Linked DNA regions of Macaca fascicularis. The protein of the gene in region 1 interacts with the protein of each later gene in a pairwise test. Links are inferred from orthologs where the notes say so. Each region holds a gene or a part of one and is shown in the gene's direction. Other genes may lie near its edges.

What was found.
Region 2: the proteins of SALL2 (region 1) and CEP76 interact in binary tests that used the Homo sapiens proteins (3 or more experiments, as listed by UniProt). The two-hybrid records come from large-scale screens. The link is inferred for Macaca fascicularis from reciprocal best matches to the Homo sapiens genes SALL2 and CEP76.
Region 3: the proteins of SALL2 (region 1) and ZMIZ2 interact in binary tests that used the Homo sapiens proteins (3 or more experiments, as listed by UniProt). The two-hybrid records come from large-scale screens. The link is inferred for Macaca fascicularis from reciprocal best matches to the Homo sapiens genes SALL2 and ZMIZ2.

What each region holds. Positions count from the first base shown.
Region 1 is NC_088381.1:89,210,304-89,215,200, reverse strand, and holds the start of SALL2 (sal-like protein 2), read left to right. Parts: upstream 1-1,840; 5' UTR 1,841-2,148; coding exon 2,149-2,221; intron 2,222-4,897. UniProt on the Homo sapiens protein: Probable transcription factor that plays a role in eye development before, during, and after optic fissure closure.
Region 2 is NC_088392.1:80,746,314-80,750,431, reverse strand, and holds part of CEP76 (centrosomal protein of 76 kDa), read left to right. Parts: intron 1-2,084; coding exon 2,085-2,273; intron 2,274-4,118. UniProt on the Homo sapiens protein: Centrosomal protein involved in regulation of centriole duplication. Required to limit centriole duplication to once per cell cycle by preventing centriole reduplication.
Region 3 is NC_088377.1:85,574,099-85,577,051, reverse strand, and holds the end of ZMIZ2 (zinc finger MIZ domain-containing protein 2), read left to right. Parts: coding exon 1-236; intron 237-1,057; coding exon 1,058-1,165; 3' UTR 1,166-2,210; downstream 2,211-2,953. UniProt on the Homo sapiens protein: Increases ligand-dependent transcriptional activity of AR and other nuclear hormone receptors.

The sequences.
Region 1 (4,897 bases):
GCAGAAAGCTATGTTCCTTCTCTCCTTTCCTTTCCTGGAAGGAAATAAATGATGGAAACAGTGGGGTGAGAGGATGACAGGACTCAGTCTATTCCATGGAGGAATTAGAAGTTTTCCTAGGCTCAGTACCCCCATTTCTCCTACAATGGTCTAGTGATAAATAATGACACCTGTCTACCACAGGGAAGTTAACAGGATGAATTAGATAATGTCAGCCACAAGAGTTCCAAGGGTAGACTTGAGAAAACCACCCGGGGCCCTGACACCAAAGGACTGGATAAATAATGGAGATTCAGTGAACTCCAAAGCAAAGATGAGAGCATTTTCCAAAACTCTTCAGATGTAATGTGGATACCTGCCTCAATTATTACTAGCAGCACCCCCTGCCACCTGCTGTCTCCCTTTTCCTTTCTTAGTATTACCAAACTAGCCTGGAATCGTGTAAGGGAAGAAATGCATAAACCTTCAAATTTGCAGCCAAACCTGTGAGTGAGCTTTATTTTGCTTTTCTCTGCAGATAAAGCCATCAGAGATTTACATTACTAACCCTAAAAGGGGAAAATACTTCCCACTTTTCCAACTGATAGCGTTTCAGATGCTATCTCAGCCAGAAGAGTAAAACAGAAATCACGCTAAAATAAAGGGGCCCAGGCATTATTGCCAGAAGATAGGGCATATCCAGAATATTCTATGCACAGTAGCTCAGTAGCACTCAACTACAGGTAGGAACATCACAGTCAGAAGTTAAAGAAAAATAAATGAATCACCCTCAGTGTGCAGGCTGAGCAGGAGATACTTGGTTGTTGCCAAACAATGTATTGTGGAGATGGAGGGATTCTTTTTTTTGAGACGGAGTCTCGCTCCAGGCTGGAGTGCAATGGCGCGATCTCAGTTCACTGCCACCTCTGCCTCCCAGGTTCAAGGGATTCTCCTGCCTCAGCCTCTGGAGTAGTTGGGATTACAGGCACCCACCACTATGCCCAGCTAATTTTCGTATTTTTAGTAGAGACAGAGTTTTGACATGTTGGTCAGGCTGGTCTCAAACTCCTGACCTTAGGTGATCTGCCCACCTTGGCCTCTCAAAGTGCTGGGATTACAAGCGTGAGCCACCGCGCCCAGCCTAATTTTTGTGTTTTTAGTAGAGATGGGGTTTCACCATGTTGGCCAGGGTGGTCTCCATCTCTTAACCTCATGATTCGCCCACCTTGGCCTCCCAAAGTGCTGAGATTACAGGTGTGAGCCACCATGCCCAGCCATGGCTATTTTAAATGAGATTCCTTGAGATCAATCACTTTTTTTTTTTTTTTTCATGATAGCAGTTTGGTGGCATATTGTGTCTTTACTGATATAGAGGAAACAATGTTAGGCTACTGTCAGATGCACCTGGATTCCAGGCCTGTGTCTGATACATCATAGCTGTGCAACTTTGGAGAGGTTACTTAACCTCACTGGGCCTTTTGATTCATCTATAAAGGGGCTCAACTATAAGTTGGAGTAGGAAAGCCTACTGTGTTCATCTTGGAGTTATAATATTCAAAATACATTACAAATGAAAATATTCTATAAATTATAAAGAGCTATACATATATTACTCATAATCAGGACACATCAGAAGGTTCTTATTTCAGTTTATACCCCAGAAGCAGCTACATTATCAGAGGGGCATAGAAATATGACAGAACCAAAAAGCACAGTGAAGATCTTGGAAGAAGAGTTAGAGAAACAAGCCAGGGACAGTTTCTGAACAGACAGCACAGGGAGAGACCCAGAGCTCTTGCAGGGAGGAGAGGGTTAAATCCTTTCCTCTGCAGTACAAAAGAAAAGAGTGTGCGGAAAGATTAGGATTTTTGCTTTTACAATGGGAGCTGCAGAAGCGTAGGGAAGAAGCTGAAGAAAAAAAGGGGGCGTCTCCCCTTTAAAGACTTGCAAAGATTGAGAGAGAAAGAGAGAGAGAGTCAAGAACAGAGAATCAGAGAGAGAGAGAGAGTCTGTCTGTCTCTGGGAAAGGAGAACATCTCTGCTTCACAGTGATTTGCGCTGGGGGAGAGGCATCAATTGGCTTCGGACCCAAGGGGGAGAGGAGACCAGGTCACCCCGGTTAAGACTAAGTGAGCGTTGCCCCTCCCTCTCCCAACTCTCTACCCGGGAATGTCTCGGCGAAAGCAGCGGAAACCCCAACAGTTAATCTCGGACTGCGAAGGTCCCAGCGCGTCTGAGAACGGTGGGTGCCTGGGGAGGGGTGGGGGGCCCCTAAGTCCAAGCCTGTGTGGGTCAGGCCAGGGCAAGGGGAGGGCACTCGGGCCATGGGCGAAACCAGGCGGGGGCGGACTTGGTCACTGGGGGTTTAAAGGAGTTGAGATGCAGGGAGTAAAGAGATGACCTGCGCTGGGGAGAAGCCCCGCTTGTTACTTGGGATTGATTCTGTTTGTGTTTTCCTTGTTTTTCTCTGGATGAAATGGAGTTTTCAAACTGGCTCTGTCTCCCCACCCAAGAGTTTTCTCCTCAGGTCTCCCTTGGCTCACTGGTCTTTGTGCCGTTGCTAAGTAACGTCCTCAGACCTGAAGACCGTCTCTTAGGGGTGGGATTTTCCCCCCTTTTCTTTCTGGAGAGTTGGGTTGCAAGAGAATGAATTGGATAAACGTGAAGGCTCCCCTGAGGGAGATGAGAAAAAAGTTTCTCATTGTTGGGCTGAACTGAGAGCCGATCAGAGCTCCCAGAGGGAGAGAGCTAATGTCGGTCAGAATGCAGCCTGGTTTGGGGTATGTATGTGTGTCACCTGGAGGAGAGCTGAAGGCTAGGTCTGGATGAGGGGCTTAGGTTTGTGCTTCAAGGAAAGCAAAGCAAAAAAAAAAAAAAACAAAAAAAAAAAAAAAAAAACAGTGCAAGAAAATACACCTGTTACTACGCGCGTATCATTTTATGAGGATACCGTGTTTTTGAAGCAACAGGTGTCCCTTATGAGGGGGAAAAAATTGTATGTATTCTTGTAACATTCCGTTAAGTGACAGGCAGACAGTAGAGCAAGCAGGGAACTGAAGAGTGAAATTGCCCAGAGTCTGAGAGACAGAGGCAAAATCAGGACAAAAACTTAAATTTCCTAATGCTCAGGGCTGGTGGTGCTCACTCCACTAAACCTGGGTTTTAAAAACTTGCCTGATTGTGAGTACATCTGAGCCAGGGTGTGGGAATCTATATATTTTGCAAGTCTCCAGGTAATTCTTAGGATCAAAGAAGTTTTGGACATACTTGTCAGTGGTATGGCTCCATATGTGCAGACTGAAAGTCTGGAAGTCCTGGCTCCAGAGAGGCAACTGTTCAGCATACAGTTGATACACCCAACAGTATAGTATAGGATTAAGCACAAGGGTTCTGAAACCAGACTTTTAGACAAATCCCAGCTCCACCACTTGGTTAGCTATGTGACCTTGACTGGTTTATTTTGTCTCTCTATGCTTCAGTTTCCTCATCTGTAAAATGGAGATGTGTATACTAGCTACCTCATTAAGTTGTTGTGAAAATCAAAATGAGTTAATATGTGTAAAACCCTTGGAAAAATACCTAGCATAAATAAGTGCTTAATACATGTAGTAAAGTACCTAGCATAAATAAGTGCTTAATACATGTAGTAAAGTACCTAGCATAAATAAGTGCTTAGTATGTGTGAATATTGTTATTATCATTATATGTGAATGCAGTGGCACTTCCTGCAAGTGCTGTAATATGACCAAAACTCAGGAACCTCTTGGCAAATGTCAGCATTTCTTTATGAGACATGTGTCATGAAAAGCTCCAAGATAGTGTATTGGTGGCGATTAAAATTATAGATTAAACTTGCCTTTCCACCTGTTAAAAAACAAAAGCTTGAGGTCAGATCAGTGCTCCATGTGCTACAAAATAACCTTAACAGACATATTATGTTTTGGGCAGAACACATCCTCCCCGAATCACTGCTTTTCTGGGATCCTACTGTGCCCATATTTAGAGGTTCTGTGGCGATGGCATCCTTCCCTCCTGAGACACATTAGCCCTTCTTAATGCTGCTATAGGCCGGATGTTTCCTACTTGTGCTCTACAGGAGACTTCCCCTAGAGCCTCAACTCTTCCCCAGAGTTGCCTCACAGTTCTGCTCTCCTGCTGGTTTGATTGTGGAACTATGCTGAACACCCCTCCAAGCCCCCAAGAAGCATCCTCTCCTCTTCTTCCTACTTCTCCCATCTGCTCACCCATTCCCCATACCATAGCTGAGGAAAAATCTTCTGTGAGGGAGTCAAAAACTATCTTTAGCAGCTGTCCTGAATGGATTTTCAAGCCCTTTAAGATATAGCTCCCACTTGGAGGCATGGTAATGCTGCTACAAAGTCATCCCCATAGAAACAGTAAAGCTTTAAACCCAATGGCATCAACAAATTTTTGATGAAAATTTGCCTTTGAGCTCTGAAAGGCAGAAACAAATGTAAGGAGCAAGGAAGCAGTAGTACCCTCTGTTGAGATCTACCTTAAGAAAGCTCATCGGAATTCCCCTGGAGCGAAAGATCCTAGGCTACTTATGATCTGGATGTCATTGGGCCTCATCTGCAAAATGAGGTGGCTCTATTTTATCGTATCTGAAATTCCTCCTTGATCTTACAAGCTTACAATATGTAAATTTCACATTTTCTGCTTTTCTTTTAAATTAATACATTTCCTTAATCATGAATGGGGCAGCATCCATTCTACAAAATAGAATGAGAGCTCTCCTTTTCCCTAATTTTTTATAGACAGGGTTTCTATTCACTTATGTGACCTTCACACATCTGACTTCCTTCTACCCCACAGCATGCCCCACAGTTAGGTAGGAAGGGCTTTTATTTAGGGGTACACTGTATCCTTTGGTGCACCTGTGAAATGACGGATATTA
Region 2 (4,118 bases), on another chromosome or scaffold:
TTCGCCAGACCTGTTTCTTGCTGCTGCTTCCTGTATTTGACTAGTTATGAAATTAAAGAACAACAATATAAAGCAATCTAATTATAAAAACAATATTGCTTTTATAGATGAAATATACGTAAATATATATAGATGATATACAGATATATCCTGCCTTTAGAATGTAAAACTTTTTCTAGAGTGTTTTTTGAAATTTTGCTTTCAATTGACTTGGTTAACGATTTTTTATTTTTTAGCTTGTGGGGATATATTTAGATAATATTAGAATATTGCTATAATAAAATGATGTATCTTACATTCTAAGATGCTACTATTGATGATTGACTTAGGCAAATGCTTCCACTTCTTATGTACTCATCTTTTCTTGCCTGTTAGTGGACTTGTAAGAATAGGAGTAACATTCCTACACCTCAGTCCTAACCAAAGATCTGTAGATTCACCGTGGCCATCATACTTAATAATTCATTATTCTTTTTATCCTTTGTTAGCTGGTTTTGCTATAATATAATAGTAATTCATTGATTCCTTTTGAACTTTTTAGTGCAAAAAACCTTAAAATAAGTTACAGAAATTGAACTTTAAGGCCACTAGGTTTTAAGAAAATGTTGTAAATCACTTGAGCATTGAGGATATCCTTTTAATATTTAATTTGTGATTTCAGGACTTAGTATTCTTATACAACAGTAGATTATTAGTAATGCTAAGTTCATGTAAAAGAAAATCAGAGTTCTCTATATCCCCCCAAAATTAGAATAATAATCCTCTGTTTTAAAAATCAGTGCCCTCTAGGCCAGGCAGAGTACCTCATGCCTGTAATCCCAGCACTTTGGGAGGTTGAAGCGGGCGGATCACTTGAGGTCAGGAGTTTGAGACCAGCCTGGTCAGCATCGTGAAACCCTCTCTCTACAAAAATACAAAAATTAGCCAGGTGTGGTGGTGCACACCTGTAATCCCAGCTACTCAGGAGACTGAGGCACAAGAATCGCTTGAACCTGGAGGGGTGCAGGTTGGAGTGAGCTGAGATCACGCTACTGCACTCCAGCCTGGACAACAGTGAGACTGTCTCAAAAAAAAAAAAAAACAAAAAAAAACTGATGCCTTCTACTTTTGAGAACTATAGGTATGAGAGGAATCTATAGCCAATTTGCTCTGCAACATAAAAATTTATGATCTTTCTCACTATAATCAAATGTAAATAAGTGAGATTTTTTTTTTCCCTTGCTGAAGTATGGGACTATATTGGAAAAAGATGTTTTGGTTATGGAGAAAGACATTAGTGGTCCTGATAATTCAGACAGATGGTGTTTCTGTTGGCTGGGTTAGATCTTATGTCCTGAGGAGCCCTACCAGAGAGGGTAGGTCATCTCCAAATGTTGAAGAGTAAGTGGCCCTTTTACAGTGCCGTGTCAGTAACCAGGAAGGTAAAGAGATTGTGGGCTTTGGTAATACTAACTGTAAAATCACAGTGGTAGACAGTCATCAGAGACCTATATATGCATACAAGTTATTCAGCACCAACACCAAGATACATCCTGTATTTAGAACGTAAAACTTTTTCTAGAGTGTTTTTTGAAATTTTGCTTTCTGTTGACTTGGTTAACAAATTATTGTTTCCTGTGGATCTCTAAATTTGAGGCACTAACGGAAACAAACTAGAACCAAGCTATGATCATTTCTATTATATGAGCCAATCAGAAGAGTTACTTGTTCTGTCTGGCTATATATTGTTAAATTCTATATGGTAATGTGAAAGAATGCTTCAGCTTAGAGCACCTCTCCCTCCCCTACGTACCTGCCCACACGTTTCTCAGCGGAGTTCTTATTGCCACAGCCTTTGGAGTAAAACCGCTCAGAGCTAGATAGCTGTAGCTCCCCAGTTTTCATCTATAAAATGAAAATAAGAGAGATGAGGATTAAGGGAAATTATATACACAGCACTTTGCAGCCTAATACCGGATACAAGGTAAGCACTCAATCAATGGTATGCTGAATTATTTTATCCTACATTAATGTATTTGAAAAAAACATATTATAACTGGGGATGATTAATATGTCATTACAGATGTTTTTCCCCTTTTCCCTAGGATGAAAATGGGATAAATAGACCAGTCTGTTCCTACGTTAAACCACTTCGAGCTGGACGGCTTCTTGATACTCCAAGGCAAGCAGCAAGATTTGTTAATGTCCTTGGTTATGAACGAGCCCCTGTTATTGGAGGAGGAGGTAAACAGGAGCAGTGGTGCACTCTGCTGGCCTTTCTCTGTAGAAGCAAGGTATTATACACACATAATAGAATTAAGTAGCAGTATATCATAGTTGCTCTGAATTTGTAATCCATTTGTAAAATAATGCCTTAGGAAAATGTACATATAGTCAACCCTCTGTACCCACAGGTTCTGTATCTGTAGATTCAACCAACTGCAGAGCAAAAATATTTATAAAAGTGAAAAATAACACAATAATAAATAATAGTACAAATATAAAACAATGGAGTATAACAACTGTTTATGTAGCATTTACATTGTATTGAGATTTTTAAGTAATTTAGAGGTGATTTAAAGTACATAGGAGGATGTGCTTAGGTTATATGTAAAATACCATTTTGACTGGGTGCAGTGGCTCATGCCTGTATCCCAGCATTTTGGGAGGCTGAGGCGGGTGGATCACCTGAGGTCAGGAGTTCAAGACCAGTCTGGGCAACATGGTGAAACCCTATCTCTACTAAAATACAAAAAATTATCTGGGTGTGGTGTCACGTGCCTGTAATCCCAGCTACTCAGGAGGCTGAGGCAGGAGAATCGCCTAGACCTGGGAGGTGGAGGTTGCAGTGAGCCAAGATTGCGCCATTGCACTCCAGCCTGAGGACACAGCAAGACTCCATCTCAAAAAAAAAAAAAAAAACTGTATACCATTTTATATAAGCCTTGAGTATCCATGGATTTTCTTTTGCAAGGGTCCTGGAACTAACTAACCCCTTTGGGTACCGTGAGACAGCTGTGCTATCAACTTGACCACGTCAGAACCTTGTTCTGTTTTTCATAACATTTAAATATCAATACACAAAAAACTCAGCATCTTTATTTTCTCATGTGGTTTCTTATTTAACTTATTGTGATTTCTGTGATGTAGGGACCTACAAGTACTAAAGTGTCAGAAATCAACTTACAGAATGAATTAGAGACAGCACCAGGACCAGACCATGGCTTTCTGGTACTATTGATGTGTTGAAATTTGCTCAGATAATACATCTTTAAAAAAGAGAAAATGGGGCCAGGTGCGGTGGCTCATGCCTGTAATCCCAGCACTTTGGGAGGCCTAGGTGGGCGGATCACCTGAGGTGATCGAGATCAGCTTGACCAATGTGGAGAAATCTTGTCGCCACTAAAAATACAAAATTAGCTGGGCGTGGTGGCACATGCCTGTAATCCTAGCTACTCAGGAGGCTGAGGCAGGAGAATTGCTTGAAACTGGCAGGCAGAGTTTGCTGTGAACTGAGATTGCGCCATTGCATTCCAGCCGGGCAATAAGAGCGAAACTATCTCAAAAAAAAAACAAAAACAAAAAGATAAAATGGCAGTACAAAATGAATATAGAAAAGAAATCTTGAATGGCATGCTATTTTGTTTAGTTTTACATACAAATGTATATTTAATTACACTTTTTGAATGACTTGATTTCAGTAAACTAATTTTATAGATTATGGGATATTTCCTAATCTGTATTCTAAAAATGTTGATAGTATGATAACAAACAAGTAAAACTATCTTTACGCTGGGTGTGGTGGCTCACGCCTGTAATCCCAGCACTTTGGGAGGCTGAGGCGGGCGGATCATGAGGTCAGGTGATCAAGACCATCCTGACTAATACAGTGAAACCCTGTCTCTACTAAAAATACAAAAAATTAGCCGGGCGTGGGAGCATGCACCTGTAATCCCAGCTACTCGGGAGGCTGAGGCAGGAGAATTGCTTGAACCTGGGAGGTGGAGGTTGCAGTGAGCCGAGATCACGCCACTGCACTCCAAACGGGGCGACAGAGCAAGTTAAAATATGTATATACACATATATGTGTGTGTGTATGTATATGTATATAACAACAGCATTAACAGTAATGGTGAAAC
Region 3 (2,953 bases), on another chromosome or scaffold:
CAGCAGGTCACCTGGACCCCACTCACAATCCTGGGACACCAGGACTACACACCTCCAACCTTGGGGCCCCTCCGGGTCCCCAGCTGCACCATTCAAACCCTCCCTCAGCGTCCCGGCAGTCCTTGGGCCAAGCGAGCTTAGGGCCCACGGGTGAACTGGCCTTCAGTCCTGCCACAGGCGTGATGGGGCCCCCCAGCATGTCTGGAGCTGGGGAGGCCCCGGAACCAGCTCTGGACGTGAGTACCAGGCCCCATGCCAGGGAGTGCGTGGGAGCCAGGGCTAGAGGTGGTGTGTCTGTTGTCCCTGGGTTCCGAGTGTGTTGTGGAAGGGAAGACAGTGACCCCTCAGAGAGCCGGTCAGATGAGATCAACTAAATGCAGCTTTTGTTCACGAGTCAGATACCTGGAGTAGCTGTGGGTGGGATGCGATGTACCACATTTGTGTTCATGAGGGGCCTGGATGCCATACGGGCGACGCAGAGTCCTCAGAGGAGACTGTGCTGGAAGCTGACAGCACGGTCCTTTGAGTCAGATTTCATCTGTCCATTTGCTCAGTAGCCCTGGGCCTTGACTCACAGGTAGAATGGGAGTGCACACTCAGTACATGGAAGACAGGACTGACTGTCCCTGGACCATAATAGAAACTCATTGAAGTTCAACATGAAAAAAGTTAGGAAGAACAGCTCCAAGCAGAAAATCCTAGGGGCATGGAATTCCACCACCAGCATTCACCTTGGGGAATCACGGTGGGGATCCCCACGCAGGCCGGTGCACAGAGAATGTGTGGAGTGGCTGTGCTCCCTCACATCCCATTTCCTGGTGGTATTGAACAGCATGTTGCGAGCTGTTCTGGCCTCAGCAGCCTTGCAGGGAGGTCCCGGGGGTGGCGTGTGCCTCCTTGAGCACATGCAGGCCTATAGTGGGGCCCCGCACCCAGCCTGTGTGTGGGGAGGGGCTGCTCAGCATCCCCACTGCACCTGGATGGGATGTGGTGACAGGATGGTCACTCAGGTGTGGCCAGTGACCAAAGCTGCTAACATAGTTCACTTTGTCCTCAGCTGCTCCCAGAACTGACCAACCCTGATGAGCTACTGTCCTACTTGGGACCGCCCGACCTCCCCACAAACAACAATGACGACCTGCTCTCTCTGTTTGAGAACAACTGATCCTGTGTTTACCCCAGGCCCGGCGGGGACACGCTCACAGATGTCACCACAGCCCTGCCCTTCATGCCCAGCCCCCTGAGACACCCGGTGGTCTCTCCCAAACCTCCCCCAAAACACACCTGGAGCCAGAGCCTTCTGCCGCCAGCCCTGTGCTCGATTGGAGGGGCTCCCAGCCCGGCAGCCCTCGCCACCTCCCTCTACCAAGCCTGCTGCTGCAGAACGGTTTTTGCTGAGGTGCCCCTGCCCAGCCCTCTCCAGCCTTGTCCACGCACACCTCACACCCCTGGTCTCACAGCCTCACACCTTGTCCTTCCACCCCTGCCTGCCCCCGCCCAGCCTGCTTCTTGTCCAGCATTGATCCTTCTGTTTCAACAACTCCTCCACTGGGCAGAGCTGGGCATCTGGCGGGGCTGGCTCTGTCCCCTGCGCCTTTGGCTCCAGTGGTCCCTGTGCCTGGCAGTCCAGCTCTTGGAACCTCGCTGAATGGCAGCCTCTTGGGGGCCTGGAGCTCTGGCAGCCCAGCCGTGTGTCGTGTCGGGTTCCTCTCCCCACCCCAGCTTCAGGCAGAATCCTCGGGGTGGGGGAGCTACAAAGCACAACAATGTACATAGTGTAGAAACACTAACAGCTGGGAAAGGGGAGCCAGCTGTCCAGCCAGCATGTTCCTGTTGTACAGCCCGGTCTCCCTGTGCACTCTGCTCCTTCCCATGTGCAGACAGATCAGGGAGGAACCTCCAGTGGGTGGGGGACAATGAGCTTTGGCCCGGCCAAGGGGGGTGGGTGGGCTCTCAGATTCAGCTCTGTATAAAGATTCTCTAGCGGGCTGCGCTCCCAAGTTCCCCGTTTCTGTGAAAGTGAAGAATTAGTACAGCTGTGTTTTTTAAAGCCACCTCTCCGTCTCCACCCCATGGTTCCACACCCAGGTGGGGAGGAGGAAGCCACTGCATCTGTTGGCTCAGGGCCCCAGCCTGTGCGAGCAGGGCGCCCGGGCTGTTGTGTCTCCTGTCTGTGCCGATCTCTATTAAAGGACTCCCTCTTGGTGGGCCTGGCCGAGTCCCTCCTTCATGCTCCCAGGGACTATTTTCTCCCCTGTAAGCCAGCGACCTGCCTAAAGCTTGGGCCTCTGTGCCTGCAAAGCCTGTGCAGGCTCTGGGGGCTGGGTCGACCTTCTAGTGGCTTTTGGGACCCCAGGTTGAGCTCTGGATGTTCCAAGCTAAGGCTCAGCTATTCCCGCCCCATAGTAAATTTCCTTTTCCCTGGAATTTTCCAAGTTGGCTTCAGCTGAAGAGCTATTTTGTGAAGCGTTCCAGGCTTGCCCAGGAGAGACATTTGCCACTATGTCACCTTATCTGGGCTTGCCCTGGGGCACTGAGCCAGCTGTTTGGCAGTCCCAGCCCAGCCAGGGGCTCCTTCTCAGCTCTTGTCCCTGGGAGGCCTCTGCTTGTCACTTACCAGAGATTGCAGAGGTGTGTCCTGCCTACCATCTGCCTGTCCAGCTTGGTGGGGGTCTGGGTCACCCTTTCCTCCTGTCCTGGGCCCCATCCTTGAGGGCCTTCCCAGCCAGCCAGCAGGAGAGGCAAGAACTGGGGGAACATGGGAACCTAGGGGAGGAGGGGAGCTCTGGGCATCCTCAGGCTGGCAGCCAAGGCCTGCCCCTTGAGGCACTAGAGGAGGGCATCTGTCTGTGGGAGCCCAGAAGCTGCAGGGAGAAGGAGGAAGGTGTCTGGTGTGAGCATTGTTCCTGCAACATTTGGGACCACACAGGTGGGCTTCCTTGTTTCCTGACAA